Arabidopsis thaliana: one gene and its partners. The protein of the gene in region 1 interacts with the protein of each later gene in a biochemical or structural test. Each region holds a gene or a part of one and is shown in the gene's direction. Other genes may lie near its edges. The genes, in order: EIN2, ETP2, ETP1 and ETR1.

Evidence for each region.
Region 2: the proteins of EIN2 (region 1) and ETP2 form a complex in vitro, tested with the Arabidopsis thaliana proteins (one study listed by BioGRID).
Region 3: the proteins of EIN2 (region 1) and ETP1 form a complex in vitro, tested with the Arabidopsis thaliana proteins (one study listed by BioGRID).
Region 4: the proteins of EIN2 (region 1) and ETR1 form a complex in vitro, tested with the Arabidopsis thaliana proteins (2 studies listed by BioGRID).

The regions. Positions count from the first base shown.
Region 1 is NC_003076.8:784,378-794,761, forward strand, and holds EIN2 (NRAMP metal ion transporter family protein), read left to right. Parts: upstream 1-3,050; 5' UTR 3,051-3,220; intron 3,221-3,753; 5' UTR 3,754-4,211; coding exon 4,212-4,460; intron 4,461-4,604; coding exon 4,605-4,691; intron 4,692-4,781; coding exon 4,782-4,892; intron 4,893-4,983; coding exon 4,984-5,196; intron 5,197-5,277; coding exon 5,278-5,463; intron 5,464-5,573; coding exon 5,574-8,234; intron 8,235-8,311; coding exon 8,312-8,689; 3' UTR 8,690-9,027; downstream 9,028-10,384. Other genes in the region: IDH-V (isocitrate dehydrogenase V), read left to right, coding at 9,666-9,857, 10,003-10,323. UniProt on the Arabidopsis thaliana protein: Central factor in signaling pathways regulated by ethylene (ET) and involved in various processes including development, plant defense, senescence, nucleotide sugar flux, and tropisms.
Region 2 is NC_003074.8:6,518,218-6,524,799, forward strand, and holds ETP2 (EIN2 targeting protein2), read left to right. Parts: upstream 1-3,351; 5' UTR 3,352-3,542; coding exon 3,543-4,709; 3' UTR 4,710-4,844; downstream 4,845-6,582. Other genes in the region: AT3G18900 (ternary complex factor MIP1 leucine-zipper protein), read left to right, coding at 44-324, 430-529, 640-699, 792-878, 954-1,082, 1,173-1,460; AT3G18905 (F-box/associated interaction domain protein), read left to right, coding at 1,988-2,575; AT3G18915 (uncharacterized protein), read left to right, coding at 5,834-6,072, 6,201-6,255; AT3G18930 (RING/U-box superfamily protein), read right to left, coding at 5,893-6,582. UniProt on the Arabidopsis thaliana protein: Negative regulator of EIN2 protein stability.
Region 3 is NC_003074.8:6,543,275-6,550,163, forward strand, and holds ETP1 (EIN2 targeting protein1), read left to right. Parts: upstream 1-2,925; 5' UTR 2,926-3,239; coding exon 3,240-4,487; 3' UTR 4,488-4,818; downstream 4,819-6,889. Other genes in the region: AT3G18960 (AP2/B3-like transcriptional factor family protein), read left to right, coding at 1-155, 224-294; MEF20 (mitochondrial editing factor 20), read right to left, coding at 425-1,843; VRN1 (AP2/B3-like transcriptional factor family protein), read right to left, coding at 5,278-5,380, 5,813-6,051, 6,142-6,341, 6,441-6,509, 6,606-6,889. UniProt on the Arabidopsis thaliana protein: Negative regulator of EIN2 protein stability.
Region 4 is NC_003070.9:24,731,311-24,739,604, forward strand, and holds ETR1 (Signal transduction histidine kinase, hybrid-type, ethylene sensor), read left to right. Parts: upstream 1-2,851; 5' UTR 2,852-2,973; intron 2,974-3,342; 5' UTR 3,343-3,387; coding exon 3,388-4,293; intron 4,294-4,368; coding exon 4,369-4,737; intron 4,738-4,814; coding exon 4,815-5,069; intron 5,070-5,151; coding exon 5,152-5,279; intron 5,280-5,369; coding exon 5,370-5,567; intron 5,568-5,695; coding exon 5,696-6,056; 3' UTR 6,057-6,408; downstream 6,409-8,294. Other genes in the region: AT1G66330 (senescence-associated family protein), read right to left, coding at 39-115, 196-269, 357-503, 596-834; AT1G66345 (Pentatricopeptide repeat (PPR) superfamily protein), read left to right, coding at 6,409-8,043. UniProt on the Arabidopsis thaliana protein: Ethylene receptor related to bacterial two-component regulators. Acts as a redundant negative regulator of ethylene signaling.

The DNA.
Region 1 (10,384 bases):
AAATGTTACGTAGACCCAAGCTAAATTTATTATTTGTTGGGCCAACCTAAACACTAATATCGATTGCAACACTTGGTTGTTGAAAGACCTAGCTACCACTTATATTACTAATCAATTTTTCTTGGTTTGAATGTGTAGATCAAATCGATTCAATTTACTACCAAAAACATTTGTCTGAGCTACAACTTTCGATCTAAAGTCCTGAGCCAAGCAATCTTTAATTATAGAAAATCATTACATAATCTCGAATTGTTTAAGTTACTTAAAATTCATATGTCTCCTCCTAAAACATCCCCGATTCGATCTTATTCTTCTGGTCTCCACGTAATAACTCACATACATTAAAAAAAGAACAAAAATAAAGAAAACCCACTTGATTAAACGAAAACATTTGTTGAATCGAACCAATTAATTGAACAATAAACGAGTTCTGATTTGTAACTGACGTCTCATGTTTCGAGGTTAATTACTAAAATTTTCAAATCTCCAATTCTTATGAACCCACCCACCATGTGTTTTAAGCCCAAGAGAGATTCAGTGAACCAAGAAGGAAAATAATTTAAATTGTCCCTTACACTAATGAAAGGTTATGTTAACAAAAATCCATTTTATTAATAGATTGATAGTACTAATAAATAAATATTTGGACACAAAGCCCAAAAGATCACAATCTAGTTAAAAAAAGATCGACAAGAAAGATTCTTTAAGCTGATGAATGATCTGTACCATGTAGCTTTGTTCCCTTTTTGGTTAACTGCCCAAACAACATCAACGAGACTTTATAAAAAAAAAACTTCCTTATGACCAAACTAAATAACTGAAATTGATTTATTAGTCAAAACATATTAAAGAACTTATTTGTATGATATCATTATACATTCCATATGTAACTGAAATATGACTATCTTGACTCTTTGAAGAATTCTGACTTTTTTTATTCAGTCAAACTTTTAAATTGTGTTGGTTACTCATCGGTACGGATAAAAAAATTCGTATGTGTTATTTCAAAAGTACTTGAAGAATATTGTTTCTATATATATTTATAGTGTTATAAAAAAACAAGTGTGGTCTCTATGTTATGGTTCATTGAACATATACATCAACATAGGACTGAGAGGAGCCCATGTTCCTTTCATTGATGCAAAATTTTAGTTTCTTGTGTTTTAATTTGCTTCCTATCCAATGTACATGTATATATACTTTCACAAGAGAATATGGATAATGTTGAGTATGTTAAATATATAGTGACAAGTTACATAAAAAAAGCCTAAAGAAATCAAATTGGAAAAAATAGTAAGGTACAATGTATGGTTATCGAAAGCCCAAGCTGTACTTCCATTGATGTAGGAGATGATTAGGAACACGTGGATTATATTTGACCAAAAATAGTAGAAATTCTATTTATATTTGTTTTCTTCTTTTGGTTTTGGGTTTGATTTTGTGATTTGGATAGTTCGGTTAAGGATGGTTTGATCAATCAATATAACCATACTAAAATATGATTCAGTTAACTAACTATAGTAACTGTTTCTTCGTTAGTAAAATGATACATTTATTGGAATCTATTGACAAATCTTAATGACTTATTATAACTGGTGATAACAAAATCTAGCTATTATTTTGTATCCAACTACATATTTTGTATAAAATGGAAATTCGTATATGATATTTGTTTAGTTTAAAAGTAGAGTGTATTTGTTTTTTCAATGATGATTTAATGAAATCAAGCTCTTAGTTGAGATCAAAAGACAAATAAAACAAAATGTTTTTTTTTGTTTTGTTTCTTTTCTATTTGAGGGAAGGCCATGAATTCTTATTTTTGACAAATAGTTGTTCTATGCAATTAATATTGATGTCTAATACATATACAGCAGAATAAATAAAAACTTGCTATATAAAGACGTATTATTTATAGCATTCTGTGGAGTATAATGTCGAATCCTGTTCTCATTTCCGATTTTACATATTTATGGTACTAACGCCTTCATTTATTTTTCCATTTTCGTTAGTCAACAACTTCAGCTTTTGATAACGCCTAATTGTATCATCAACTTTAGTTAGTTTTCTCAAATAACGTCATTTTCAAATAAAGTTTTTGATTTCTCTTTTATTATATTTATGCAAAAGGAAAATTATAATTTCAGTATTTTGCAGAACGCTGAAATGTATAATAGAACCTATTCATGTATTTTTGTAAAATTTTAAAGATTGTTTTAATACTAAAATAAGTAAATCATTAAAAAAATTCCTAGACATTGGTCTCTAATATAAGATAAATAGATCTAAATTATGTTTGGATTTTAATTCTAATAAAAAGGTAGCCAAAAGTTATATATACAATATTTAAACAATTTTATTTGTTTAAGATTTGAATTTTATAGTATGCGAGAATCGCGTAAACTTTTCTCGAATGTAACAAAAAATTTCAAATCTTCTCGACACATGTAATCTTTTGCGAGTTAGAAGATTTGATTCCTTATTTTTTGTTCGTATTCTTAAAGTTAGTCACGTTTATATTATTTTTCGCTTTGTAACCGTCCCTTTAAATTTTTAATAAAAATTAAAAAAATTGCTAGAAAACAACATTTTTGTATTACTCAAATCAAAAGTACAAAAATAAATTTAGCTAGCGTTTCACAAAATCAAGTAAAATAATCTCCATTTGAAACTCCATAATCAAGCTGTTTGATGTATTATTATTACATGTAATGAGGAGAAAGAGGGGTCGAGAAATTTAAAGTAATAATAATTCTCTTCTTCGTCCATGGAATAAACTACGATTAGTTTAAAAAGATTAATAAAGATGGATTAAAGAAACTATATGTTAAACCTGGAAAATTTATTTAAAAAGACGTTTTTTTAGCTATAAGAAAAAAAAGAATAATACCTTTATTTTTACATGTTATTTACAAGTAATAATTTTTTTTTTCTCTCTCTCTCTTTGAAGGTGGCACGAGCACCCATAACCTTCAGACCTATAGATACAAATATGTATGTATACGTTTTTTATATATAAATATTTTATATAATTGATTTTTCGATCTTCTTTTATCTCTCTCTTTCGATGGAACTGAGCTCTTTCTCTCTTTCCTCTTCTTTTCTCTCTCTATCTCTATCTCTCGTAGCTTGATAAGAGTTTCTCTCTTTTGAAGATCCGTTTCTCTCTCTCTCACTGAGACTATTGTTGTTAGGTCAACTTGCGATCATGGCGATTTCGAAGGTGACTTCTTTCAAAAACCCTAATCCTCTGTTTTTTTTTTTATTTTGCTGGGGGGCTTTGTACGGACTTTCATGGGTTTTTGTAGCTTTTCCCTCGGCTTTTGCGCAAATGAGACTTTCTGGGTTTTTTTTCCAGCTTTTTATAATTTCATCAGGTGGATCGAATTCGTAGTTTCAGCTTAGATCTCTCTCCCTCTTCATTATCTGGACTTTCCAGACTTGGAGTTCTTCGGGATTGTTTTCGGTTTCTGGGTTTTGTTTTAATTGCGAGATTTAAGCTTTTTTCTTTTTTACTACTGTACTTGGTTTGTGGTTGACCTTTTTTTTCCTTGAAGATCTGAATGCGTAGATCATACGGGATCTTTGCATTTTTGTTGCTTTTCGTCAGCGTTACGATTCTTTTAGCTTCAGTTTAGTTGAAATTTGTATTTTTTTTGAGCTTATCTTCTTTTTGTTGCTGCTTCATACTAAGATCAATTATTGATTTGTAATACTACTGTATCTGAAGATTTTCACCATAAAAAAAAAATTCAGGTCTGAAGCTGATTTCGAATGGTTTGGAGATATCCGTAGTGGTTAAGCATATGGAAGTCTATGTTCTGCTCTTGGTTGCTCTGTTAGGGCTTCCTCCATTTGGACCAACTTAGCTGAATGTTGTATGATCTCTCTCCTTGAAGCAGCAAATAAGAAGAAGGTCTGGTCCTTAACTTAACATCTGGTTACTAGAGGAAACTTCAGCTATTATTAGGTAAAGAAAGACTGTACAGAGTTGTATAACAAGTAAGCGTTAGAGTGGCTTTGTTTGCCTCGGTGATAGAAGAACCGACTGATTCGTTGTTGTGTGTTAGCTTTGGAGGGAATCAGATTTCGCGAGGGAAGGTGTTTTAGATCAAATCTGTGAATTTTACTCAACTGAGGCTTTTAGTGAACCACGACTGTAGAGTTGACCTTGAATCCTACTCTGAGTAATTATATTATCAGATAGATTTAGGATGGAAGCTGAAATTGTGAATGTGAGACCTCAGCTAGGGTTTATCCAGAGAATGGTTCCTGCTCTACTTCCTGTCCTTTTGGTTTCTGTCGGATATATTGATCCCGGGAAATGGGTTGCAAATATCGAAGGAGGTGCTCGTTTCGGGTATGACTTGGTGGCAATTACTCTGCTTTTCAATTTTGCCGCCATCTTATGCCAATATGTTGCAGCTCGCATAAGCGTTGTGACTGGTAAACACTTGGCTCAGGTAAACATTTTTCTGATCTCTAAAGAACAAACTTTTTAAAATAACAAACTGGGCTCTGTGGTTGTCTTGTCACTTTCTCAAAGTGGAATTCTACTAACCACCTTCTCTATTTTTCTAACATTTTAATGTTCTTTACTGGGACAGATCTGCAATGAAGAATATGACAAGTGGACGTGCATGTTCTTGGGCATTCAGGCGGAGTTCTCAGCAATTCTGCTCGACCTTACCATGGTAGTTACTTACAATCTTTGCTGTTCTTAATTTTTTTATTATGTGATAAAATTTTGATTCCTCTGACTTGAGCTTCTCTATTATAAACAGGTTGTGGGAGTTGCGCATGCACTTAACCTTTTGTTTGGGGTGGAGTTATCCACTGGAGTGTTTTTGGCCGCCATGGATGCGTTTTTATTTCCTGTTTTCGCCTCTTTCCTTGTATGACTGGTCTTCCTGTCTTGTTTTTTTTCTCCACGTTCTTGAAATAGCATTATTGGAAATTAGCTGACATGCATACAATTTCTGACAGGAAAATGGTATGGCAAATACAGTATCCATTTACTCTGCAGGCCTGGTATTACTTCTCTATGTATCTGGCGTCTTGCTGAGTCAGTCTGAGATCCCACTCTCTATGAATGGAGTGTTAACTCGGTTAAATGGAGAGAGCGCATTCGCACTGATGGGTCTTCTTGGCGCAAGCATCGTCCCTCACAATTTTTATATCCATTCTTATTTTGCTGGGGTACCTTTTTTCTCTTTATATGTATCTCTCTTTTCTGTTAAGAAGCAATAATTATACTAAGCAGTGAACGCTCTATTACAGGAAAGTACATCTTCGTCTGATGTCGACAAGAGCAGCTTGTGTCAAGACCATTTGTTCGCCATCTTTGGTGTCTTCAGCGGACTGTCACTTGTAAATTATGTATTGATGAATGCAGCAGCTAATGTGTTTCACAGTACTGGCCTTGTGGTACTGACTTTTCACGATGCCTTGTCACTAATGGAGCAGGTTTGTTCTGACGGTTTTATGTTCGTATTAGTCTATAATTCATTTTTAGGGAAAATGTTCAGAAATCTCTCGTGATTATTAATTATCTTGTTCTTGATTGTTGATCACAGGTATTTATGAGTCCGCTCATTCCAGTGGTCTTTTTGATGCTCTTGTTCTTCTCTAGTCAAATTACCGCACTAGCTTGGGCTTTCGGTGGAGAGGTCGTCCTGCATGACTTCCTGAAGATAGAAATACCCGCTTGGCTTCATCGTGCTACAATCAGAATTCTTGCAGTTGCTCCTGCGCTTTATTGTGTATGGACATCTGGTGCAGACGGAATATACCAGTTACTTATATTCACCCAGGTCTTGGTGGCAATGATGCTTCCTTGCTCGGTAATACCGCTTTTCCGCATTGCTTCGTCGAGACAAATCATGGGTGTCCATAAAATCCCTCAGGTTGGCGAGTTCCTCGCACTTACAACGTTTTTGGGATTTCTGGGGTTGAATGTTGTTTTTGTTGTTGAGATGGTATTTGGGAGCAGTGACTGGGCTGGTGGTTTGAGATGGAATACCGTGATGGGCACCTCGATTCAGTACACCACTCTGCTTGTATCGTCATGTGCATCCTTATGCCTGATACTCTGGCTGGCAGCCACGCCGCTGAAATCTGCGAGTAACAGAGCGGAAGCTCAAATATGGAACATGGATGCTCAAAATGCTTTATCTTATCCATCTGTTCAAGAAGAGGAAATTGAAAGAACAGAAACAAGGAGGAACGAAGACGAATCAATAGTGCGGTTGGAAAGCAGGGTAAAGGATCAGTTGGATACTACGTCTGTTACTAGCTCGGTCTATGATTTGCCAGAGAACATTCTAATGACGGATCAAGAAATCCGTTCGAGCCCTCCAGAGGAAAGAGAGTTGGATGTAAAGTACTCTACCTCTCAAGTTAGTAGTCTTAAGGAAGACTCTGATGTAAAGGAACAGTCTGTATTGCAGTCAACAGTGGTTAATGAGGTCAGTGATAAGGATCTGATTGTTGAAACAAAGATGGCGAAAATTGAACCAATGAGTCCTGTGGAGAAGATTGTTAGCATGGAGAATAACAGCAAGTTTATTGAAAAGGATGTTGAAGGGGTTTCATGGGAAACAGAAGAAGCTACCAAAGCTGCTCCTACAAGCAACTTTACTGTCGGATCTGATGGTCCTCCTTCATTCCGCAGCTTAAGTGGGGAAGGGGGAAGTGGGACTGGAAGCCTTTCACGGTTGCAAGGTTTGGGACGTGCTGCCCGGAGACACTTATCTGCGATCCTTGATGAATTTTGGGGACATTTATATGATTTTCATGGGCAATTGGTTGCTGAAGCCAGGGCAAAGAAACTAGATCAGCTGTTTGGCACTGATCAAAAGTCAGCCTCTTCTATGAAAGCAGATTCGTTTGGAAAAGACATTAGCAGTGGATATTGCATGTCACCAACTGCGAAGGGAATGGATTCACAGATGACTTCAAGTTTATATGATTCACTGAAGCAGCAGAGGACACCGGGAAGTATCGATTCGTTGTATGGATTACAAAGAGGTTCGTCACCGTCACCGTTGGTCAACCGTATGCAGATGTTGGGTGCATATGGTAACACCACTAATAATAATAATGCTTACGAATTGAGTGAGAGAAGATACTCTAGCCTGCGTGCTCCATCATCTTCAGAGGGTTGGGAACACCAACAACCAGCTACAGTTCACGGATACCAGATGAAGTCATATGTAGACAATTTGGCAAAAGAAAGGCTTGAAGCCTTACAATCCCGTGGAGAGATCCCGACATCGAGATCTATGGCGCTTGGTACATTGAGCTATACACAGCAACTTGCTTTAGCCTTGAAACAGAAGTCCCAGAATGGTCTAACCCCTGGACCAGCTCCTGGGTTTGAGAATTTTGCTGGGTCTAGAAGCATATCGCGACAATCTGAAAGATCTTATTACGGTGTTCCATCTTCTGGCAATACTGATACTGTTGGCGCAGCAGTAGCCAATGAGAAAAAATATAGTAGCATGCCAGATATCTCAGGATTGTCTATGTCCGCAAGGAACATGCATTTACCAAACAACAAGAGTGGATACTGGGATCCGTCAAGTGGAGGAGGAGGGTATGGTGCGTCTTATGGTCGGTTAAGCAATGAATCATCGTTATATTCTAATTTGGGGTCACGGGTGGGAGTACCCTCGACTTATGATGACATTTCTCAATCAAGAGGAGGCTACAGAGATGCCTACAGTTTGCCACAGAGTGCAACAACAGGGACCGGATCGCTTTGGTCCAGACAGCCCTTTGAGCAGTTTGGTGTAGCGGAGAGGAATGGTGCTGTTGGTGAGGAGCTCAGGAATAGATCGAATCCGATCAATATAGACAACAACGCTTCTTCTAATGTTGATGCAGAGGCTAAGCTTCTTCAGTCGTTCAGGCACTGTATTCTAAAGCTTATTAAACTTGAAGGATCCGAGTGGTTGTTTGGACAAAGCGATGGAGTTGATGAAGAACTGATTGACCGGGTAGCTGCACGAGAGAAGTTTATCTATGAAGCTGAAGCTCGAGAAATAAACCAGGTGGGTCACATGGGGGAGCCACTAATTTCATCGGTTCCTAACTGTGGAGATGGTTGCGTTTGGAGAGCTGATTTGATTGTGAGCTTTGGAGTTTGGTGCATTCACCGTGTCCTTGACTTGTCTCTCATGGAGAGTCGGCCTGAGCTTTGGGGAAAGTACACTTACGTTCTCAACCGCCTACAGGTAACAAAAACCGCAGTAGTTCATTGAAAATCACAGTTTTGCAGTTTGAAAATATTGACATGTATGGATTTAAACAGGGAGTGATTGATCCGGCGTTCTCAAAGCTGCGGACACCAATGACACCGTGCTTTTGCCTTCAGATTCCAGCGAGCCACCAGAGAGCGAGTCCGACTTCAGCTAACGGAATGTTACCTCCGGCTGCAAAACCGGCTAAAGGCAAATGCACAACCGCAGTCACACTTCTTGATCTAATCAAAGACGTTGAAATGGCAATCTCTTGTAGAAAAGGCCGAACCGGTACAGCTGCAGGTGATGTGGCTTTCCCAAAGGGGAAAGAGAATTTGGCTTCGGTTTTGAAGCGGTATAAACGTCGGTTATCGAATAAACCAGTAGGTATGAATCAGGATGGACCCGGTTCAAGAAAAAACGTGACTGCGTACGGATCATTGGGTTGAAGAAGAAGAACATTGTGAGAAATCTCATGATCAAAGTGACGTCGAGAGGGAAGCCGAAGAATCAAAACTCTCGCTTTTGATTGCTCCTCTGCTTCGTTAATTGTGTATTAAGAAAAGAAGAAAAAAAATGGATTTTTGTTGCTTCAGAATTTTTCGCTCTTTTTTTCTTAATTTGGTTGTAATGTTATGTTTATATACATATATCATCATCATAGGACCATAGCTACAAACCGAATCCGGTTTGTGTAATTCTATGCGGAATCATAAAGAAATCGTCGGTTTGAAATGTTAAATCTCCTAAACCGGATCTCTGCACGTAGCTGACACATCGACGCTAGATTACTGACACGTGTCCTTATCAATATTTCTTCTCGAAACGTCTTACTGTTTCATAAAGTCCTTCAAATTTCTGGGGAACTAAGAAAATCCAGCAGAGTAACTAATCCAATGGGTTATGTAATCTACATATCGTTCCCGGCGATTCTTCTCCTTCTGATCGTCGCTATCGCCTTTTATCTCATCGGACGAAAAATCGGCCGGAGAGAAGGGATTCAATCAACGTCGCAGTTACACTACGGACCGCCGTTGGCTAATTTTCCGGCACCTGCACCACCGCATAAAGCTATGGAGAAGCCACCGGAGCCGGTTTAGTGTATGTATGATGACGTAATAATACTTACGTATTACGTAAACGTTCTATATATGTAGTTTGTGTGTTAAATAAGATGTAATTGGGCCGATGCTGAAACCAATTTTAAAACAACTCTTTATTGGGCCTGGGGTTTAAGGAAACACTTCGTGCCGTTTAAATTCCGTACTCACCTAATGCAACCTAGAAACTACGCAGCGTTTTGACGGAAGAAGAAATATTCGCTTCTTCTTTTACAACTTTTGTCCCACAACGCAGAAAAGTCCTCTCTTTCTCTCTCTCGAATAATAATTTTTCATTTGCTGCGTCCTTTTGGTGCTTGAAGCGATGACCATGGCAGCAAATCTAGCGCGACGGCTGATCGGAAACCGATCGACTCAGATCCTTGGAGCCGTGAACTCTAGCTCAGGTGCGGCTAGTTCTGTCGCTAGGGCTTTCTGCTCCTCCACCACTCCGATCACCGCAACTCTCTTCCCTGGCGATGGGATCGGTCCCGAGATCGCCGAATCTGTCAAAAAGGTCCCTCATCCTAATCTCTTTTCTGCGCAGAATTTCGAGTTCTGGAAGTCATAGTTACGAGATAATTGTTTGATTGAATTTTGTACGATAATTTGTGGGAATTCGGCAATTTTGTTGATAGTTTTTGCGTTTTGTACTGATCCAGGTGTTTACAACAGCTGGTGTACCAATTGAGTGGGAAGAACACTATGTTGGGACTGAGATAGATCCGAGAACACAGAGTTTCTTGACATGGGAAAGTCTCGAATCTGTGCGTAGAAACAAAGTTGGTTTGAAAGGTCCAATGGCTACTCCAATTGGGAAAGGTCACCGTTCTTTGAACCTGACTCTTAGGAAAGAGCTTAATCTATATGCCAATGTTAGACCTTGTTACAGTCTTCCTGGTTACAAAACTCGTTACGATGATGTTGATCTCATTACCATCAGAGAAAACACGGAAGGAGAATACAGTGGCCTTGAACATCAGGTTTAGTTTGTTTTAAGTCTATTGATCGAATATTTCAGGTTAGTTCTTCTAATAAATGATT
Region 2 (6,582 bases), on another chromosome or scaffold:
TTTCTTTCTTTACCAATGGTGGTTTACATTTTCATGTCTTCAGCAATCTGATATCGATGAGTTGATTGGGACATATGTTTCTGAAAACGTTCATAAGTCACCAAATAGTTTATCTGAAGAGATGGTCAAGTGCATCTCAGAATTATGTCGTCAACTTGTGGATCCAGGATCACTCGACAATGATCTAGAATCGAGCAGTCCTTTCCGCGGGAAAGAGCCTCTGAAGATCATTAGTCGACCTTACGACAAGTTATTAATGGTGAAATCGATTAGTAGAGACTCAGAGAAGTTAAATGCAGTTGAACCTGCTTTGAAACATTTCAGGTTTTCAATCTCAGGCTCTTACAATATCAACTTCTTTTAGTTTAGATATAGCAACTATGTTATTTAATCAATTGTAGACTTCTTCTTGAATTCAAAATTGTTTAGGTCGCTTGTTAATAAGTTAGAAGGAGTGAATCCAAGGAAGTTAAATCATGAAGAAAAGCTAGCTTTCTGGATTAATATACACAACTCTCTGGTTATGCATGTAATGTTAATTTCTCAAACTAAACTTCTTTTAACACCATCTTGTGATTAGTGACAAATCTCTCTAGATATTAATTAGCTATTTTGGGTTTGTTTTTGTCTCTTTTGCAGTCGATACTTGTCTATGGGAACCCTAAAAACAGTATGAAAAGAGTATCTGGGTTGCTGAAGGTAGGGTAATCTTACTTACAGTGCAGAACTACTTGGGACACAAGTCATCGGTAAATAAACAATTATTAGGGCTTTTCTATTGTGTAATATAGGCAGCTTACAACGTTGGAGGTCGAAGCTTGAACTTAGATACCATTCAGACTTCAATCCTTGGTTGCCGTGTTTCTCGTCCAGGACTGGCAAGTCTATGATTGTTTTCGATTCTGAAAATTGAACTTGATGAGGGCTGCTAATAAGGATTGGCGTATTTGCAGGTATTTAGGTTCTTGTTTGCTTCTAGATCAAAGGGTAGAGCTGGAGATTTAGGAAGAGATTATGCTATAACTCACCGTGAGTCTCTACTTCATTTCGCTCTTTGCTCGGGGAGCTTGTCAGATCCATCAGTAAGCAAATCCCCTGACTCAACATCGTTTCTTATCTTACACGCTATTCATATTGAAGGATTAGGTTATAAAGCAACACGATTCTTTTAGGTTCGTATATATACCCCCAAGAACGTGATGATGGAGCTAGAATGTGGTAGAGAAGAGTATGTAAGATCAAACCTAGGAATTTCCAAAGACAACAAGATTCTATTGCCGAAGCTTGTTGAAATATATGCCAAGGATACTGAACTCTGCAACGTCGGTGTTCTTGACATGATTGGGAAATGTTTGCCTTGTGAAGCAAGAGATAGAATCCAGAAGTGTCGCAACAAGAAGCATGGAAGATTCTCTATAGATTGGATTGCACATGATTTCAGATTCGGGTTGCTTCTCTGAAAAGAAAACACGACTCATGATTCGGATTAGTTATTTTTTTTTTCCTTTGTTTTCCATCTGATGTGAGCAATGAATTGAAGAACTTACAAAGTATCAAACTTTCTAGTTATGAGATATGTTAAGTTTATACCTTTATTGTTAAGGAACGACTACAGGATATTTCCGAGTAGCTTCAATCTCCATGGAACTAGTCCATCTGTAGAGTTTAAAAGTGAGCTAATCGATCCTCATTCTAAGAATTCAGCTGCTCCATTCGAAATATCACGAGTCTTTCACTGTGACGGCTTGTTGTTATGCACCTCCCATTTCGACGCATCTAGAGTCTTGGTTTGGAACCCTTTAACTGGTGAACCAGGTGGATCAGAACCGGCAATTTTCTCATAGAAGCTCGCAGCTTTGACCTCGGATACTGCCAAGTAGACAACAATTGCTGCAATAAGAGCTACAAAATCTTGAGCTCTCATCAACGTAGCGAATATTTTGATATCTACGATTTTAACTCTGATTCATGGAGGTTTGTTGAAGATATGATCCCTCCAGGCGTGAGCTTTGGATACTCTGAACTCAGTGTGTCTTTGAAGGGAAATACTTACTGGTTGGCTATAGTTGTAACAGAAACGCCCCGCACCATATCATTGCTCAAGTTTGATTTTTCAATAGAGAAATCTGTACTTGTGCCTCTTCCCTATCATAGTCTTCAGAGTCGTCGTTTTGAAGCTAGTAGCCTTTCCGTTGTTAGAGAAGAGAAACTTTCTGTGTTATTACAGCGAGATATAAGTTCCAAGACTGAGATATGGGTGACAAGTAAGATTGATGACACCACCAAAGTGGTGTCTTGGAGCAAGATCTTAGCATTGGATTTGAGCCCTCATCTTCAGATTTGGAATGATGCAAGTTTCTTGATAGGCGAAGAGAAGAAAGTCATCATGTGTGAGAGATTGGTTGATGTGCACACGTCCAAAGTCATGGTCTACATTGTTGGGGAGAACAATGTTGTCACACAAGTGGAATTTGGGGTTGTTGAAATGGATGGATGTTGGGCAGTTATCTTTAATTATGTTCCAAGTTTGATTCAAATCGAGCAAGCTGGAGGCAATAGGAACATAGGTAAATAAACACCGTCTACATGTAATATCTTTGTGCGTGTGTGTATGTGTGTGTGTGTGTGATCATGTTCTTTCAGTTTCAGGCTTTTCTAATTCAATGACTTAAAGTGATTCAGAAAACATGTACAAAGATACAAGTTGTGTGTGTGTTTTTCTTAATTTTACCCTGTCTCTTGTCTGAGTTTTCTTTTTCACCCAAGATACAAGTTTTACAACTATAAATCATCGCCCAATTCACCTTGCAAGTTCTACCACTAAGCCAAGCATGGTATGTTGCAAGTATAATTGGTGTTTTCTCTATATCTTACAAACACACAGCTTAAAGTTGCAAATATTTGGACCAGAAAACAATCCCCAAATTACTTGAAACCACAACTTGGCTTGTTTTATATATTGTAACGTGCAAGGAGAGGAGCAAGAGATATCGCTGAGATTTGGGTAAACATGGCCAAGATATCCAGTCCATTCGGTAGGACCTGCTTGTGTAGAAAAAACAGCAGTAACATAGAATGGCCAGTTGGGAACTCTGATTCCATGTGACCACAAATTATATTATTTATTACCATGTCTCAGTTTGGAATAACAAAGCTTAGCAAGTTAGCAACACTAAGATCACAAAAGGTAAAAAAAAAAAAACAGAGCTTCTTAGCAAGTTAGTAACACTAAAATCAGGGTTATACATGCATCTAGTCTTTTTAGCAACAGAGGAAAACCTTCACAGTTCTAGTGTTCTACCAAGTAGTTCCAGAAAGTAAACACATATATTCAATCTAATAAGCTATTACAAGAAATTCAATGCTCAATATGATCTCATGGGAACGAAACAGGGGAAATTTGATTGCCACAAATATATGGGCTTTTAAAGTGGGCCTTGTTAGATTCTTATCAGGTCCATGTCACTCACTATTCAACATTTTACTGCTGAACTCAACTGTGGGAAGAGGAAACCCTAGAGATTTGGTAACAGCAGAGATCAATGAAGACAATACAGGAGCAGCTTCCAAATGACTTGGTAGAGGAGATACTCTGTCGCGTTCCGGCAACATCTCTGAGACGTTTACGATCGACTTGCAAAGCATGGAACCGTTTATTCAAAGGTGATCGGATATTAGCAAGTAAGCATTTTGAAAAATCCGCAAAACAGTTTAGATCTCTATCGTTAAGGAATGATTACAGGATTTTTCCGATTAGCTTCAATCTCCATGGAAATAGTCCATCTCTAGAGCTTAAAAGTGAGCTAATCGATCCTCATTCTAAGAATTCAGCTGCTCCATTCGAAATATCTCGAGTCATTCACTGTGAGGGATTGTTGTTGTGCTCCTCCCAATTGGACGAATCTAGAGTCGTGGTTTGGAATCCTTTAACCGGTGAAACCAGGTGGATCAGAACCGGCGATTTTCGCCAAAAAGGCCGTAGCTTTGATGTCGGGTACTACTACCAAAAAGACAAGAGATCCTGGATCAAGAGCTACAAACTCTTGTGCTATTATCGTGGTACCAAATATTTTGAAATCTACGATTTTGACTCTGATTCATGGAGGATTCTTGATGATATTATCGCTCCACGGGGGAGTATTGGATACTCGGAACTTAGCGTGTCTCTGAAAGGAAATACTTACTGGTTCGCTAAAGGTGTAACAGAAGAGCGGCCCCGCACCATATCATTGCTCAAATTTGATTTTTATACAGAGAAATCTGTACCTGTGCTTCTTCCCTATCAGAGTCGTCGTCTTTTCCAAGCTAGTAGCCTTTCTGTTGTTAGAGAAGATAAACTTTCTGTGTTATTGCAGCTAGATCAAAGTTCCAAGACTGAGATATGGGTGACAAATGTGATTGATGAGACCACCAAAGGAGCAGTTTCTTGGACCAAGGTCTTAGCATTGGATTTGAGCCCTCATCTTCAGATTGGGAATGATGGAAGTTTCTTCCTAGGCGAGGATAAGAAAGTCGTCATGTTCTGTGAGAAATTGATTGATGAGAACAAGGTCAAAGACATGGTCTACATTGTTGGGGAGGATAATGTTGTCACAGAAGTGGGATTTGGAGTAGATGAAATGGATGGATGTCGGGCAGTTATTCTTAATTATGTTCCAAGTTTGGTTCAAATCGAGCGAGCTGGAGGCAACAGGAAAAGAGGGCACTAAACACTGTCTACATGTAATCTCTTTTCTTTCTGTGCGTGTGTTTCTCTTAATTTTATCTTTGTCATGTTCTTTCAGTATCAATCAAGCTTTTCTAATTCAATGAAAAAAGTGATTCAGAAAACATGTAAGAAGCTTTCACCCTATCTCTTCTCTGAGTTTTCTTTTTTTCACTCAAGTTACAAGTTGTACAACTAGAAATTATCACCCAATCCACCTTACAAGTTCTACCACTATCACCCAATTCACCTTACAAGTTCTACCACTAAGCCAGGCATGGTATGGTAAAATAAGCCAAGTATGGAGATCCCCTCAATTGACCAGATTGGACAAGACAACCCTCCACGGCCAGGTAAGGTAACATGAGCTTCAGATCAAGCACCAGCAAGATTACAATGACCTCAACGTTCAGGCGATCTCCTAAACCTTGTTCTATTTTTCTTACTAAACCCCAATATACTAAAAAGCCCATAATATTTATTCTTACAGGGCCGCAATTGATCCAGATCTTCTCAATCTCAGTTGGTTAACGTTATTCATCAATATGTAATAAATCATCAAAAAAATTTGGTCAAAAATTAAATCGACAGCTAAAAGTTTGAACATAAAATTCGGTAACAGAAAACAGTAAAGCCACCGACGATGTAAAGTTATTATAGAAACGAAATTCAATGTGTTGTTGACTTTCGTTTCTATGATAACTTTGGCAGCTTTTGAAGTTAATGCATTTTGATAACTCCAAAGAGAGGAAAAAACGAATCATCAGCCAAAACGCCGTCGTACAGGCTCCAAAACCTTCATCGTCTTGGCGTCTTTTGTCTGAGACCCATAGTAATATAAGAAAGTGTGTATCCTAGTCAGGAAAATTCAACGTACATAGTAACAAATTATTTATTTCTCTATGACTATACGTTATATCATATTCATAAATGAAATCCGTATTTTAGCAGCATTAAATAAGAGAGGTGAAGAAATAAAGGTATGGTTATTATTTATTTATACTAAATAGTAATAAATAAACGAACCTTGTTGTGAATGTGAGCAGCTGAGCAATTTCTGAATCTCTCTATCTTCTTCTGTTTCGTTCATTTTAATTCCATTAAATGCTTAAACCCCACATTCCATTAATGCTCTCTCCTTCCACTTCAATATTTCTTTTTATCATCACCACCGTCCAAATTTCATCTTACATCTCTGCCCTACACGTGTCTCTTCTTCTCCATCTCTCCGGCGATAACAGTGCCTCTGGATCTCCGCATCTTAACCGGCTCGATGAGTGCGGTGCTGTTCTGAAGAACATCGGACTCGTCATCGATTTCGTTCGCCGCGATGAGCTTCCCGTCGCTGGAATCCGTTCTGATATCGGGTAAAACACTCCCGCCGATGATCTCCGTCGGAAGAACGGTGATTTCGTGCTTCTGTAGTAACGGAACGAGAACACTCTTGATTTCGATATTAGGTTTCCGAACGGTGATTGACGTTTGTTCCATGTAGATCTCCGGTATCTCCATGGAGACACCGTCGCTGGCTCCATCGTTACTCTCTCTGATTCAGATTCTCTCTCGCATTCGAACGAGTACGATCTCTTCAGCTCCCGGAACCGAGAAATCGCCGGTGATGATTGCTCTTCCACCGACGCTCTGATCTCCTGATCGTTCGTCGTATCGGCAGCGATTGTGTTCCAATTGCTCCGCGACGGTGTGATTTCGCCGCGGATGATGATCGCGTTATTCTCTTCATCATCGAGACTCGGACGAATTCGAGGAGCCATTAACGGAACGAACGGCGACATAGGCGTTAAAACTCCGGCGGATCCGAGAATCGCCGTACGGCATAACGGACAGTTAGGGTGAGATCGGAGCCATTCATCGATGCA
Region 3 (6,889 bases), on another chromosome or scaffold:
CATTGACAGCGACGATGATATAATCGATATTACAGGCAAAGAGTTTGTTGGAACTCAAGGTACAAGGAAGAATAATCAATCTGTTAATGGTGGTGATACAGAGCACAAATCCAAGAAGAGATCAAGAGACATCGAACTTGACAAGATTCTACACGGTAAGAAGACTTTGTTCTTAATATAGATTAAGAAGATTGGGATCTGAATATTTTTAATCTATGTGTAGATCTTGATGTGATGAATCCAATGCATGTGCTTAAAGAAGAAGAAGAAGACAAGAGAGTCTTCAGGGGATAACAGAGCTTTTAACAGAACCGAGACCTGCAAGTTTATTTGTTGTGTAATGTTAATTAATGACTTGATGAAACTAAAAAACTTTCATTGCAAAATGAGTAGTGTTTTGAATCCTGACCTGTAACAAGCTATGTTAAACAAAACTGTAACCAGGTCTTGTTTTGATTCTTCTTTCTTTCATCTCCTTCCTCAGCTTCTCTACCTCTACCCATTTCCCTTTATGAGCTAACACATTCGATAAAGCGACATAATCTTCGCACTCAGAACCCGAAAGCTTCTCGTCCTCTCGTTCTATCTCGAGAAGAGCCTTTCCGATCTCTTCACCCATTACAGTCTCTCCATAAATGCTGCAGGCATTGCAGAGGCTTCTTAACAAGATAGCGTCAGGCTTTATAGGCATAGCTAATATAAACTGATAAGCCTCTTGTATCCGCCCTGCCTTACCAAGAAGATCTACTATGCAACCATAGTGTTCGATAACCGGTGTGACACCAAATCTTGTCTTCATGCTCTTGAACAGCTCGATTCCTTCTTCAACAAGACCTATATGACGATAAGCCGAAAGCAAGCTAGTGAAAGTTATTTCGTTTGGTTTGATCCCAGATTCCGCCATTCGGTTTAGAAGATTCGGTGTTTCGTTTCCTCTACCGTTGAGAGCTAGCCCCGTTGCCATTGAAGTCCATGTAAAGACATTTTTCACTTTCATTAGCTCGAACACGGAGAATGCGTTGTTCAAGCAGCCGCATTTTGAGTACATGTCGACAAGTGCAGTACCGATAAAGACATCAACTTCGGGTGTGAACCCGAGCTTTTCTATGTAACCATGAACGAGAGAACCAATTTCGAGCAAACCCGTCTGAGAAATGGCTGAAAGAACACAAACCATGGTTGTATCAGTAGGTCTAACTCCACTACCACAGCAAGAGAATCTCCTAAACAAAACCATAGCCTTTCTCGCATTGTGATTGCCTTTATCCTTATGTGAACAATATCCACCTATCATTGCGTTCCATGTAACAGAGGTTCTCTCAGGCATTTCGTCAAACACCTTCCTTGCATAACGTAAATCTCCATTCTTAGCGTAGAAATGGAGTAAAGTGGTTCCAATCAATTCAGATTCATATAGAAAGCCAAGCTTTTTCACCATCCCATGAACAATTCTACCAACCCGTAACGCCGACGACGAAGCTGACCTAGCACAAGCGCCAAGGACGAAGACAAAAGTGCGCTCATTGAGATAAAGCAACGAACTTTTTGATGCATAATTGGCAAAAATCCGAATCGAGTCCTCTGGTTTGCTACATTTAAGCAATGTGTTGAAGAGAAACTTATCAGGATGACCAAATCGAGGAAACACTAGTAAATGAGCAAGCTTTGAGCTGCTTTCGGTTGATGGCTTTGAACAGTAATGGCCTATGAGTTTGCCAAATAGAGAATTATCATGGCAGCCATTGATGACTAATTGAGCATGGATTTGCTTAGCTTGAATTAGGGTTTTCGAATTCTGTTGCAACAAGGACAAAAATCTTGGTCCTGGAAAAACAGAGCTCATAAGCACCAAACTCTGATACTGTAATGGATTAAGGCAAAGAGAAGGAGAAACAAAAGCTAAGAGATAAAATAAATATCGAAGAATCTACAGCACAAACCCATCTTCATCATAATCATCATCATGGCTACAAGTACCAAATTTGATGGAGATTAGGTATTTACAGACTTCTTCTTAAACCCTAACTTTGTTTGTTCTACTCAAACAATTTGAGTTCCACTCAAGAGGTTATATATAATGAGGTAAAAACAACTTATCCACATCGATAACACAAAGTAAACCCGAGAGAAAAAACGAGACACTGACGCAATAACGACACAGACCAGAAGAGAGTTTTTTTAGTTGTTTTTAAATTAAGATACTCCTACACTGTAAATCCCTTTCTAGTGAGAGCTAGCTACTACCACTGGATTCAGTCTTCAACAAATTATCATATCCTCAAGCGCATCATCACAACAAACACTTGTCATACTAGACAAACACTCCAATAAGCTTCTGTCACGTGTCCCTTATATTCCTCCACTCCACTCCACTTTTGCCCATGTCATTCATTGCGCATCTCTGTTTTCCTATAACAAATCTCCCGTATTTGAGAAATCTTTACCTCAAGGTAGTTTGAGACAGATGATAAAACATCTAATTTGCTAATTTCAAAAATTACATGGACTATGGTGTCGCCTATGCGATGTCTACTGCTTCATTGATCAACCTCAAAAGCTAATCCGAAAATTATGAACAAAATTCTAACAACATAGAACAGAAACATACAGCTCTCTCTATATCATTTGATCAGATAATCTCAACGAACCCACCTCAGATTATACAAAAGCAAAAAAAACACTAGAGATTCTTTCGCTGACAATCCATACGCTTTTTAAACTATTGATCCCTCCAGAACTGTATCCGATATTCACAGATTTTGCCTTGATTTTGGAAGGCGGAGGAGGATAGACCGGTACGGATGTCGGTGAAAAAAACTTGGAATCGTTATCGTGTTGGCCAGGTGGTTTTTTTTTTTTTACACGTCAGCATATTTGGCCGGTCCTACTTATCTAAAGTACAGTAATAATGTCATACACGTCAGCGTAAACTGATAGATCTTCCTTGGACAAAATCTACTTCCGATAATGTTGATTCCCTTCTGTCTGAATTCTCTCTAGTGTAAAAAATATTCTCTTGAATCCTTGGTTTTCCATAGCGTGTGTGTATTGATTTACAAATATAGAATCTACAGAAAACAAGATTGAGGGTGCAAAAATGAAAATATATTCAGAATTGAGGGAGCAATTTGTTACATTTCCTCTTTCCAGTCTATGTATATATCTCGCAAGAGGAAAGCTGAAGAAAAGCAAAACCCTAGAAAATAAATAATATTCCGTGGCGCCTGCGGCAGAGATCAATGACGATACCGGATCTCTGTAACGATTTGGTCGATGAGATACTCTGTCGCGTTCCGGCGAGGAATCTGAAACGGTTACGATCTACCAGCAAACGATGGAACCGTTTATTCAAAGATGATAGGAGATTCGCAAGAGAGCACATGCATAAAGCCCCAAAGGAGTATCTACCTCTCATGTTGACAAGCGAGTACAGGATCTGTCCGGTGAGCATCAATCTCCAAGGAGATGTTCCTTCTGTAGTGTTAAAGAGAGAGCTTAGCCTACCAGATCCGGATTATTCACATCAATTCGATATAGGTCGAGTCTTTCACTGCGACGGCTTATTGGTATGCAACCACGTAGGCAAGAATCCCCGATACGGATCTAAAATCGTGGTTTGGAACCCGCTGACTGGTCAAACCAGGTGGATCGAAGCCGGCTATCGTTGGAAGGAATACGAAGTCAGATTTGTTCTCGGATACTGCTACCAGCAAGACGAGAACAATTCCTGCAGTAAAAAAATCTACAAAATTTTGTGTTTTTATCCTAATGGCCAAGATACAGAAATCTACGAGCTTAACTACTCTGATAGGTGGACAAGGACGATTCCTGATGGTGATCTCACTCCAGGCTGGACCTTGATATACTCAGAGCAGACCGTGTCTATGAATGGAAATCTTTACTTGTTTGCTTCGGAGAAATCAAAACCCCATCTTGGCGTGTCCTTGCTCAGATTTGATTTCTCAACAGAGAAATCATCTCTATGTGTGACTCTTCCCTATCAGCGTCCAAGGTATGAAATTTTGAGTATTTCCGCCGTTAGAGGAGGAGAGAATCTTTCTCTGTTGTTGCAGCTCGATTTTGAATCTAAGACTGAGATATGGGTGACGAATAAGATTGATGACACCACCACCAAAGGAGCAGCAGTCTCTTGGACCAAGGTCCTAGCATTTGATTTAAGCCCTGATCTTCAATTATTTTCGGAGGAGGTAAATTTTTTGCTTGACGAGGATAAGAAAGTCGCTGTGTGTTGTGAGAGATGGTTGGAACCGCAAGAGCACCACAGGTACCAGTGCAGGAGAGAGTACAAGATCACCGACAAGATATACATTCTCGGGGAGGATAATAAAGTCGATGAAGTAGGTTCTGGAGAGGGAGAGGCTACAGATTCACTTGAAGGAATTTCGCAAGTTATTCTCAATTACGCTCCAAGTTTGGTCCAAATCGAGCAAGCCGGAGGAGGCAAAACAAAAAGAGGTGACGACTAAAACAACCTCTACATGTAATATTAGTTTTTTGTGTTTTTCTTAATTTATTTTTGTCATATTTTTTGAATAATCCCCTGATCGAGCGACCTGGAAGTAGAAGAGGCCCTTAAATTTTCTTGTTCATGTTCTTTGAATAATCCTTTGAACTGATATCTCAATAAGATTGTAATATTGTAGTTGTCCCTTGCTTGATTTACACACGGTTTTCTTTTTTTTTTAAGTTTTATGATCAAAACATGTCTGGTACAGTATATGTCTAGAGAACAAGTGTTGTGTCTAAAACTTCAACCATTTCTAATTCAATGACAAAAGTAACTCATGTTCGAAGCTCCGAGTTTCTTTTTCACCTAAGTTTCAAGTTGTACAAACAACTAGAAGTCATTATTACCCATTCGCATAAATCTAGCATATATTGGACCAAAACATAACCCACAAATTATTTAAAACCACAGCTAAGCTTGTGGTTTTTTTGGGGCATCCAAAGTTGAAACATATCAAATGTTTACTCATGATACTACACTCCTTGATTGTCGTTTAACCTAGTGTTATGCAAATATAAACGCACGCATATCAGCAAGAGATCCATAGAGTTTACTGCAGGGATTTTGACCAGCACTGCATCTTCCTCTCGTTTCAATTATGCATCCCCTGACATCAGCATGACAATCTAACAGTCAACCACAATTTAGTGGTGATCACATGGTTAAGCATGTGCCAATTACGTACCGTACCTTGTAGCTGTAAGAGCGGGTGCCTGCACCTTGGGAATCTGGATGTTTTCTTATGTAATCTACTGCTTCACCTCTGTATGTCTGCTACCACAGTTCCCACCTACAATCTTATATATGCATTTTCCTTCAATACTCCCATTTTCACCAGTATCCTCAAGCAAACTGCATGAAGAGGGTTTCCAATTATCTCAGAGGTGATCAAACAACAACTTCATCAAATTCTAGACGTTGGCTTGAAGGCTATTCTTAAGTTTGTTATCTCAAGTTCCCTCCTTGTATTCCACCAGAACAGTTTGTCTTTCTACTCAAATTTGATGGAGATTAGGTATTTACAGACTTCTTCTTAAACCCTAACTTTGTTTGTTCTACTCAAACAATTTGAGTTCCACTCAAGAGGTTATATATAATGAGGTAAAAACAACTTATCCACATCGATAACACAAAGTAAACCCGAGAGAAAAAACGAGACACTGACGCAATAATGACACAGACCAGAAGAGAGTTTTTTAGTTGTTTTTAAATTAAGATACTCCTACACGACATTGTACTTGCAAATCCAGAATGATCACACCATAATGCTTTGTTCAGACGTACTCGTTGACTCGAAAGGCTGTCACTTTCAAAACGAAATCTCTGGTTCTGAGCAGCTCAAACACACAGACGTCTCCTTCTCCTAAGTTGTTCTCTAGAGTGAATTCGTACCATCCTTGACTGAATTTGGCTCTCCCGGCTTTGTAGAGACATCGAACAGGCCATTGTTTCTCCGCAAGCTGGACTTTGATGAACCCGGAGATCCCACTTAGGTACTTCTCAGCAAACCCAGAAGGAAGATACTGTTGAGAGAAACAGAAACAGAAGGCTTCTTTTAGAGATCAGTGAAGACACCGATAAGATTAAGTCTTCCTAAGATGTTTTTTTATTACCATGATGCAACCTCTGTATAGATAGGATGGTCGCAGAACCACTCTGAAGAAAGGGTTTGTTGGTTCGAACGTTTTGGCTGCATTGATGGCTCTCTCTCTTTCTTCTGCAGTCACGGTTCTCTTTCTCGCAGAAGCACTCTCGTAGAACTTTGAACGGTTCTCTGGATCATCATCTCGCGGAGCTGATGAGTTTATTTCCTCTGTAAGGACAATATCAAAAGGATATATGTATCATGAGGAAGAATCTGTGAATCCTCTGAAAACGAGTCTGAAGCATTTCAAAGAGGAAAAGTGCTTACCAGGATCAGCATTTTTCTTCTTCCTCCCTCTCTTTTTAGGTATTTTTGGGGTTGGCGTTGGCTCTTCAGCTGGAGATAAGGAAAATATCAAGCATCAACCTCAAAAGAATGATAAGACGCGTAATCAGCGATAGATAAAGGGAATCAGTTGGTTATAAATATCACCTTTAACTGGTCCAGTGAACAAGGTTTGGATGGCTGAACTAGCATACCCTTTGTTGGCTGGTACTGTAGACTCAGGAAGTGGTGATGGGTACACAGAAGAAGGAAAGATGACCTCGGCATCTTCATCTTCAAGGTCTTCAAACAAACGGGCGCGTTTGAAGTGGTTGTGAGCGGAATCCATGAGACCGGTGGAATGGTAATTGATCTCAGAGTGGGATAAATTGAAAATGTAGACGCTGAAGGCAGAGTTTCCTTCATATCTAAAAATCAAAAGATAACCAATG
Region 4 (8,294 bases), on another chromosome or scaffold:
AAAATGTGCATATATCAACGAAAGAATAAGCTGCATACAGTAGCAATATGATGAAGGCGCTCGGCTTTTCTCTTGACATCACGGTCTATTTTCTCTGTATCTTCTCTTGCCCGAGCTACATAATAAACACACAAAGGCAGGGTTAGGAAGCAATAAAAGAATTCTATATTAACGTGAAAGAGAAACAAATCTTACCATCGAGTTTAAGGAACCCGGAACCAAGAATGGCAACATCCTGTCGTGCACGAGCATCAAGTCTCATAATACCACTGCAAAACACAAACCTCAACACATAAGAAACCTCCACTAATGCATAAGTTCTAGATTCTGTAACCGTTGGATACGCGGAAAATTACCGAGATAGAAGAACAAAGTCATTACGAGCTCTTTCATTCACAAACTTAGCATCATTAGACACATATTCCACCAAAAGTTGGCTTGAGTTACTACTTTTCCTCCTCGGCATCACTTGCTTCTCACCTTCTTTTTGTACAACTTGGGAACTAACAACACATCACACAAGAAACTTATAACTAAGCATGAAACAAAACCAGACCAGTTTGATCTGTAAAGGCTAACAACTAAAAGGGCTTACTTAGTTTCAGTGTCTTGAGACTTTCCAACAAAGCACAATGTAGAACATCTCCGAGAACTAACAAAAGTGACAGTCTTTGTACAACAAAGACCTTGCTTTAACTCTTCAATAGATGAACCCTTATTAGCAGCTAAAGGATGATGAACATACGCCAACAGAACTCTTCGAGATCTTGAAGCATTAACACTCTTAACTAAAATTGGACTATTGGGAACAACCTTGCTCACGTTAAGAGCCATTGAGATAAACCTAAATATCAAAATTGATTCAGATAAACTTATCAAGGCATCAAATTTATAAAATTCTCGATTTTAGAACGACATAAAGATACAATTTTGCTTAAATGTAGAGATTACCCACTTGAATCAAACTCAAAGTATTGATTTTTAAGACAAAGCCCATCAAGGAAAAATTGGGAATTGGAGAGATGAAACAGTGAAGAACACAGATTCGATAGAGAAGAGAGACTAACCTTGTGGGAAGAAATGAAGAAGAAGAGTAATCCAAAGAAGGATTTAGGATTTTAGGGAGAAAGAAGAGGACAAAGAAGGAGAATTATGGGATTAGAAGTGAAAATTGTAACCACAAGAGTTACTTGTGGACCAGTGTGAGCCAACCATGTCCTAAGTTTTCTTTCTATTTCGATTCTCTGGTCATTATAGTATTGGCCCCACTCTTTCCCTTAATATCAATTTGGTTCAATCCATATATTTTGGTATTGCGATTTTTATTCTTATTTTAAATTGAAGGACCAACACTTATATATAAAGAATATACACCAATCTATTTATTATTAATTAGATTTAATTTGGAAATCCATAAAATTTAATACAGTAAAATCTCTATAAATTAATAATGTTGAGACCACAAAATTCTATTAATTTATAAAGGTATTAATTTATCGATAAATTAATATTTATTAATTTACAGAGAGATTTTCCAAAAGTGGTAATTTTTTTTTTAATTTCTATAAAAATTTAAGATTCATTCCATTATCTAAAATATATTTTTAGAACCAATTACAAATAGAAATAATTATCATGTCTAGAAAACAACAAGAAAAGTTTTTGATAGAGTAAAAATATTAAAATGAAATAAAAAAAAACTTATACAAATTTAAGTAAAAAAAAAACAATATTAAAATTATATTTCTCTGTAATTTATGATATTAATGGGACCCTATGTTTATATAAGATTTTCAAAAAAACTATTATCTTATTAATTTATCGATTTGTATCACTTTTTACAGTGGTTCCAACTCGGGACCGAAAAAATTTATTAATTTATAGAGATTATTAATTTATCGAGTATTAATTTATAGAGGTTTTACTGTATGTATCAAAATTTCGTGTGTTGAGATTTAATACTGATCTTAAAATGAGATTCAGTTCGAGATAGGCTGATTAGAGCCATCATCTTGAAGGTATATATTAAGATTCCATATTGTAAGTTTGAAGTAATCAACACTAGTATATATGAGACATAAACGTTGGTTGAGAATTGAATCGATGAAATTTAGTTTTGTTTGGATTTTGATTTGACTGGTTAAGGTCTTATGTACATTTTTCGGAGGATTGATTTCAAAAAAAACTAATGTAATAATTTTATATAATTGCTTAATATACTTTTGGTTTAGGATCAAATTTCTGGTTAACTCTGATTTAGTTTTGAGGTACTGAAAACCTATATTATGTCAATTTGGAGATATATTACAGTTAACCAGATATAACATTAGTAGTTTGATATATCTCCAAGTTGACATAATATAGCTTTTATTCACATGAACATATTTGTTTGATTCAACTTGTTTTACTTCTCTTACAACTATATAATGTTTTATACAAACGATTATTTACATAAGATTACACTTAAAACTCATAATTTTATATTGGCTAAACATATATATTGCTTAATCTCCAAATGACATTATCATTCTCCTTTTTTGAAATCATACGAATCAATGTAAGGTGAAAGTTAGTGAAAACAATATTTTGCATTTTTTGGTGAAACCATAAAGATAGTATTTGTTGATAAATATGGGGATATTTATCCTATATTATCTGTATTTTTCTTACCATTTTTACTCTATTCCTTTATCTACATTACGTCATTACACTATCATAAGATATTTGAATGAACAAATTCATGCACCCACCAGCTATATTACCCTTTTTTATTAAAAAAAAACATCTGATAATAATAACAAAAAAATTAGAGAAATGACGTCGAAAAAAAAAGTAAGAACGAAGAAGAAGTGTTAAACCCAACCAATTTTGACTTGAAAAAAAGCTTCAACGCTCCCCTTTTCTCCTTCTCCGTCGCTCTCCGCCGCGTCCCAAATCCCCAATTCCTCCTCTTCTCCGATCAATTCTTCCCAAGTAAGCTTCTTCTTCCTCGATTCTCTCCTCAGATTGTTTCGTGACTTCTTTATATATATTCTTCACTTCCACAGTTTTCTTCTGTTGTTGTCGTCGATCTCAAATCATAGAGATTGATTAACCTAATTGGTCTTTATCTAGTGTAATGCATCGTTATTAGGAACTTTAAATTAAGATTTAATCGTTAATTTCATGATTCGGATTCGAATTTTACTGTTCTCGAGACTGAAATATGCAACCTATTTTTTCGTAATCGTTGTGATCGAATTCGATTCTTCAGAATTTATAGCAATTTTGATGCTCATGATCTGTCTACGCTACGTTCTCGTCGTAAATCGAAGTTGATAATGCTATGTGTTTGTTACACAGGTGTGTGTATGTGTGAGAGAGGAACTATAGTGTAAAAAATTCATAATGGAAGTCTGCAATTGTATTGAACCGCAATGGCCAGCGGATGAATTGTTAATGAAATACCAATACATCTCCGATTTCTTCATTGCGATTGCGTATTTTTCGATTCCTCTTGAGTTGATTTACTTTGTGAAGAAATCAGCCGTGTTTCCGTATAGATGGGTACTTGTTCAGTTTGGTGCTTTTATCGTTCTTTGTGGAGCAACTCATCTTATTAACTTATGGACTTTCACTACGCATTCGAGAACCGTGGCGCTTGTGATGACTACCGCGAAGGTGTTAACCGCTGTTGTCTCGTGTGCTACTGCGTTGATGCTTGTTCATATTATTCCTGATCTTTTGAGTGTTAAGACTCGGGAGCTTTTCTTGAAAAATAAAGCTGCTGAGCTCGATAGAGAAATGGGATTGATTCGAACTCAGGAAGAAACCGGAAGGCATGTGAGAATGTTGACTCATGAGATTAGAAGCACTTTAGATAGACATACTATTTTAAAGACTACACTTGTTGAGCTTGGTAGGACATTAGCTTTGGAGGAGTGTGCATTGTGGATGCCTACTAGAACTGGGTTAGAGCTACAGCTTTCTTATACACTTCGTCATCAACATCCCGTGGAGTATACGGTTCCTATTCAATTACCGGTGATTAACCAAGTGTTTGGTACTAGTAGGGCTGTAAAAATATCTCCTAATTCTCCTGTGGCTAGGTTGAGACCTGTTTCTGGGAAATATATGCTAGGGGAGGTGGTCGCTGTGAGGGTTCCGCTTCTCCACCTTTCTAATTTTCAGATTAATGACTGGCCTGAGCTTTCAACAAAGAGATATGCTTTGATGGTTTTGATGCTTCCTTCAGATAGTGCAAGGCAATGGCATGTCCATGAGTTGGAACTCGTTGAAGTCGTCGCTGATCAGGTTTTACATTGCTGAGAATTTCTCTTCTTTGCTATGTTCATGATCTTGTCTATAACTTTTCTTCTCTTATTATAGGTGGCTGTAGCTCTCTCACATGCTGCGATCCTAGAAGAGTCGATGCGAGCTAGGGACCTTCTCATGGAGCAGAATGTTGCTCTTGATCTAGCTAGACGAGAAGCAGAAACAGCAATCCGTGCCCGCAATGATTTCCTAGCGGTTATGAACCATGAAATGCGAACACCGATGCATGCGATTATTGCACTCTCTTCCTTACTCCAAGAAACGGAACTAACCCCTGAACAAAGACTGATGGTGGAAACAATACTTAAAAGTAGTAACCTTTTGGCAACTTTGATGAATGATGTCTTAGATCTTTCAAGGTTAGAAGATGGAAGTCTTCAACTTGAACTTGGGACATTCAATCTTCATACATTATTTAGAGAGGTAACTTTTGAACAGCTCTATGTTTCATAAGTTTATACTATTTGTGTACTTGATTGTCATATTGAATCTTGTTGCAGGTCCTCAATCTGATAAAGCCTATAGCGGTTGTTAAGAAATTACCCATCACACTAAATCTTGCACCAGATTTGCCAGAATTTGTTGTTGGGGATGAGAAACGGCTAATGCAGATAATATTAAATATAGTTGGTAATGCTGTGAAATTCTCCAAACAAGGTAGTATCTCCGTAACCGCTCTTGTCACCAAGTCAGACACACGAGCTGCTGACTTTTTTGTCGTGCCAACTGGGAGTCATTTCTACTTGAGAGTGAAGGTTATTATCTTGTATCTTGGGATCTTATACCATAGCTGAAAGTATTTCTTAGGTCTTAATTTTGATGATTATTCAAATATAGGTAAAAGACTCTGGAGCAGGAATAAATCCTCAAGACATTCCAAAGATTTTCACTAAATTTGCTCAAACACAATCTTTAGCGACGAGAAGCTCGGGTGGTAGTGGGCTTGGCCTCGCCATCTCCAAGAGGTTTGAGCCTTATTAAAAGACGTTTTTTTCCAACTTTTTCTTGTCTTCTGTGTTGTTAAAAGTTTACTCATAAGCGTTTAATATGACAAGGTTTGTGAATCTGATGGAGGGTAACATTTGGATTGAGAGCGATGGTCTTGGAAAAGGATGCACGGCTATCTTTGATGTTAAACTTGGGATCTCAGAACGTTCAAACGAATCTAAACAGTCGGGCATACCGAAAGTTCCAGCCATTCCCCGACATTCAAATTTCACTGGACTTAAGGTTCTTGTCATGGATGAGAACGGGTTAGTATAAGCTTCTCACCTTTCTCTTTGCAAAATCTCTCGCCTTACTTCTTGCAAATGCAGATATTGGCGTTTAGAAAAAACGCAAATTTAATCTTATGAGAAACCGATGATTATTTTGGTTGCAGGGTAAGTAGAATGGTGACGAAGGGACTTCTTGTACACCTTGGGTGCGAAGTGACCACGGTGAGTTCAAACGAGGAGTGTCTCCGAGTTGTGTCCCATGAGCACAAAGTGGTCTTCATGGACGTGTGCATGCCCGGGGTCGAAAACTACCAAATCGCTCTCCGTATTCACGAGAAATTCACAAAACAACGCCACCAACGGCCACTACTTGTGGCACTCAGTGGTAACACTGACAAATCCACAAAAGAGAAATGCATGAGCTTTGGTCTAGACGGTGTGTTGCTCAAACCCGTATCACTAGACAACATAAGAGATGTTCTGTCTGATCTTCTCGAGCCCCGGGTACTGTACGAGGGCATGTAAAGGCGATGGATGCCCCATGCCCCAGAGGAGTAATTCCGCTCCCGCCTTCTTCTCCCGTAAAACATCGGAAGCTGATGTTCTCTGGTTTAATTGTGTACATATCAGAGATTGTCGGAGCGTTTTGGATGATATCTTAAAACAGAAAGGGAATAACAAAATAGAAACTCTAAACCGGTATGTGTCCGTGGCGATTTCGGTTATAGAGGAACAAGATGGTGGTGGTATAATCATACCATTTCAGATTACATGTTTGACTAATGTTGTATCCTTATATATGTAGTTACATTCTTATAAGAATTTGGATCGAGTTATGGATGCTTGTTGCGTGCATGTATGACATTGATGCAGTATTATGGCGTCAGCTTTGCGCCGCTTAGTAGAACAACAACAATGGCGTTACTTAGTTTCTCAATCAACCCGATCTCCAAAACTCATCCATGGCTTCTTCTCCTTCTCCTCCAAAACTAATCCAAATCCAAACAAACAACAACAAATCCTCATCGACTACATCTCCAAATCCCTCCAATCCAACGATACCTGGGAAACTCTCTCCACCAAATTCTCCTCCATAGATCTATCAGATTCCTTAATCGAAACAATCCTTCTCCGATTCAAAAACCCCGAAACCGCCAAACAAGCTTTATCCTTCTTCCATTGGTCATCCCACACTCGAAATCTCCGTCACGGAATCAAATCTTACGCATTGACGATTCATATCCTTGTCAAAGCTCGATTACTAATCGACGCTCGAGCTTTAATTGAATCGTCTCTGTTAAATTCTCCTCCCGATTCGGATTTAGTCGATTCGTTGTTAGATACTTATGAGATCTCATCTTCTACTCCTTTAGTGTTTGATTTGTTAGTTCAATGTTACGCTAAGATTAGGTATTTGGAATTAGGGTTTGATGTGTTCAAGAGATTGTGTGATTGTGGATTTACTCTTAGTGTGATTACTTTAAACACGTTGATTCATTACTCTTCGAAATCGAAGATTGATGATCTTGTGTGGAGGATTTACGAATGTGCGATTGATAAAAGGATTTATCCGAACGAGATTACGATTCGGATAATGATTCAAGTGTTGTGTAAAGAAGGGAGATTGAAAGAAGTTGTTGATTTGTTAGATAGGATTTGTGGTAAGAGATGTTTACCTTCAGTGATTGTGAATACGAGTTTAGTGTTTAGGGTTTTGGAAGAGATGAGAATAGAGGAGAGTATGAGTTTGTTGAAGAGATTGTTGATGAAGAATATGGTTGTTGATACTATTGGTTATTCGATTGTTGTTTATGCGAAAGCTAAGGAAGGTGATTTGGTGTCTGCACGGAAGGTGTTTGATGAAATGCTTCAACGAGGTTTTAGTGCGAATTCGTTTGTTTATACGGTGTTTGTTAGAGTTTGTTGTGAAAAGGGTGATGTTAAAGAAGCGGAGAGGTTGTTGAGTGAGATGGAGGAGTCTGGAGTCAGTCCGTATGACGAGACGTTTAATTGTCTTATCGGTGGTTTCGCGAGGTTCGGGTGGGAAGAGAAAGGTTTGGAGTATTGTGAGGTAATGGTAACGAGAGGGCTTATGCCTAGTTGTTCGGCTTTCAATGAGATGGTTAAGAGTGTAAGTAAGATTGAGAACGTGAATCGCGCAAATGAAATCTTAACAAAGTCGATAGATAAAGGGTTTGTGCCCGATGAACATACGTACTCTCATCTGATTCGAGGGTTTATAGAAGGAAACGATATCGATCAAGCGCTTAAGCTGTTCTACGAGATGGAATACCGAAAGATGTCTCCTGGTTTCGAGGTGTTTAGGTCACTAATTGTGGGACTCTGCACTTGTGGTAAAGTGGAAGCCGGAGAAAAGTACTTGAAAATTATGAAGAAGAGGTTGATAGAGCCTAATGCAGATATATATGACGCATTGATTAAGGCATTTCAGAAAATTGGTGATAAAACAAATGCTGATAGAGTTTATAATGAGATGATTTCAGTCAGATGATTCAAACCGGGTGGTTTAGGAGGGTGTCTGGGTTGTATGAATTTAAGCTCCATTGAGCTTCATCTTGGGAAAACTTGATTTTGTATCTTGGGTCAATGACCCAACGATCATGTATTGGACCACAGAAAAATGAAAGTCAACTTATAGAAACTTAAAAGAAAAAACAACTTTTAGAATTTTACAACGTCATTTTTTTTATTGTCAACTTCCATTCCACCAAACGTTTGGTAACGTGTCGAAAAAATATAAGA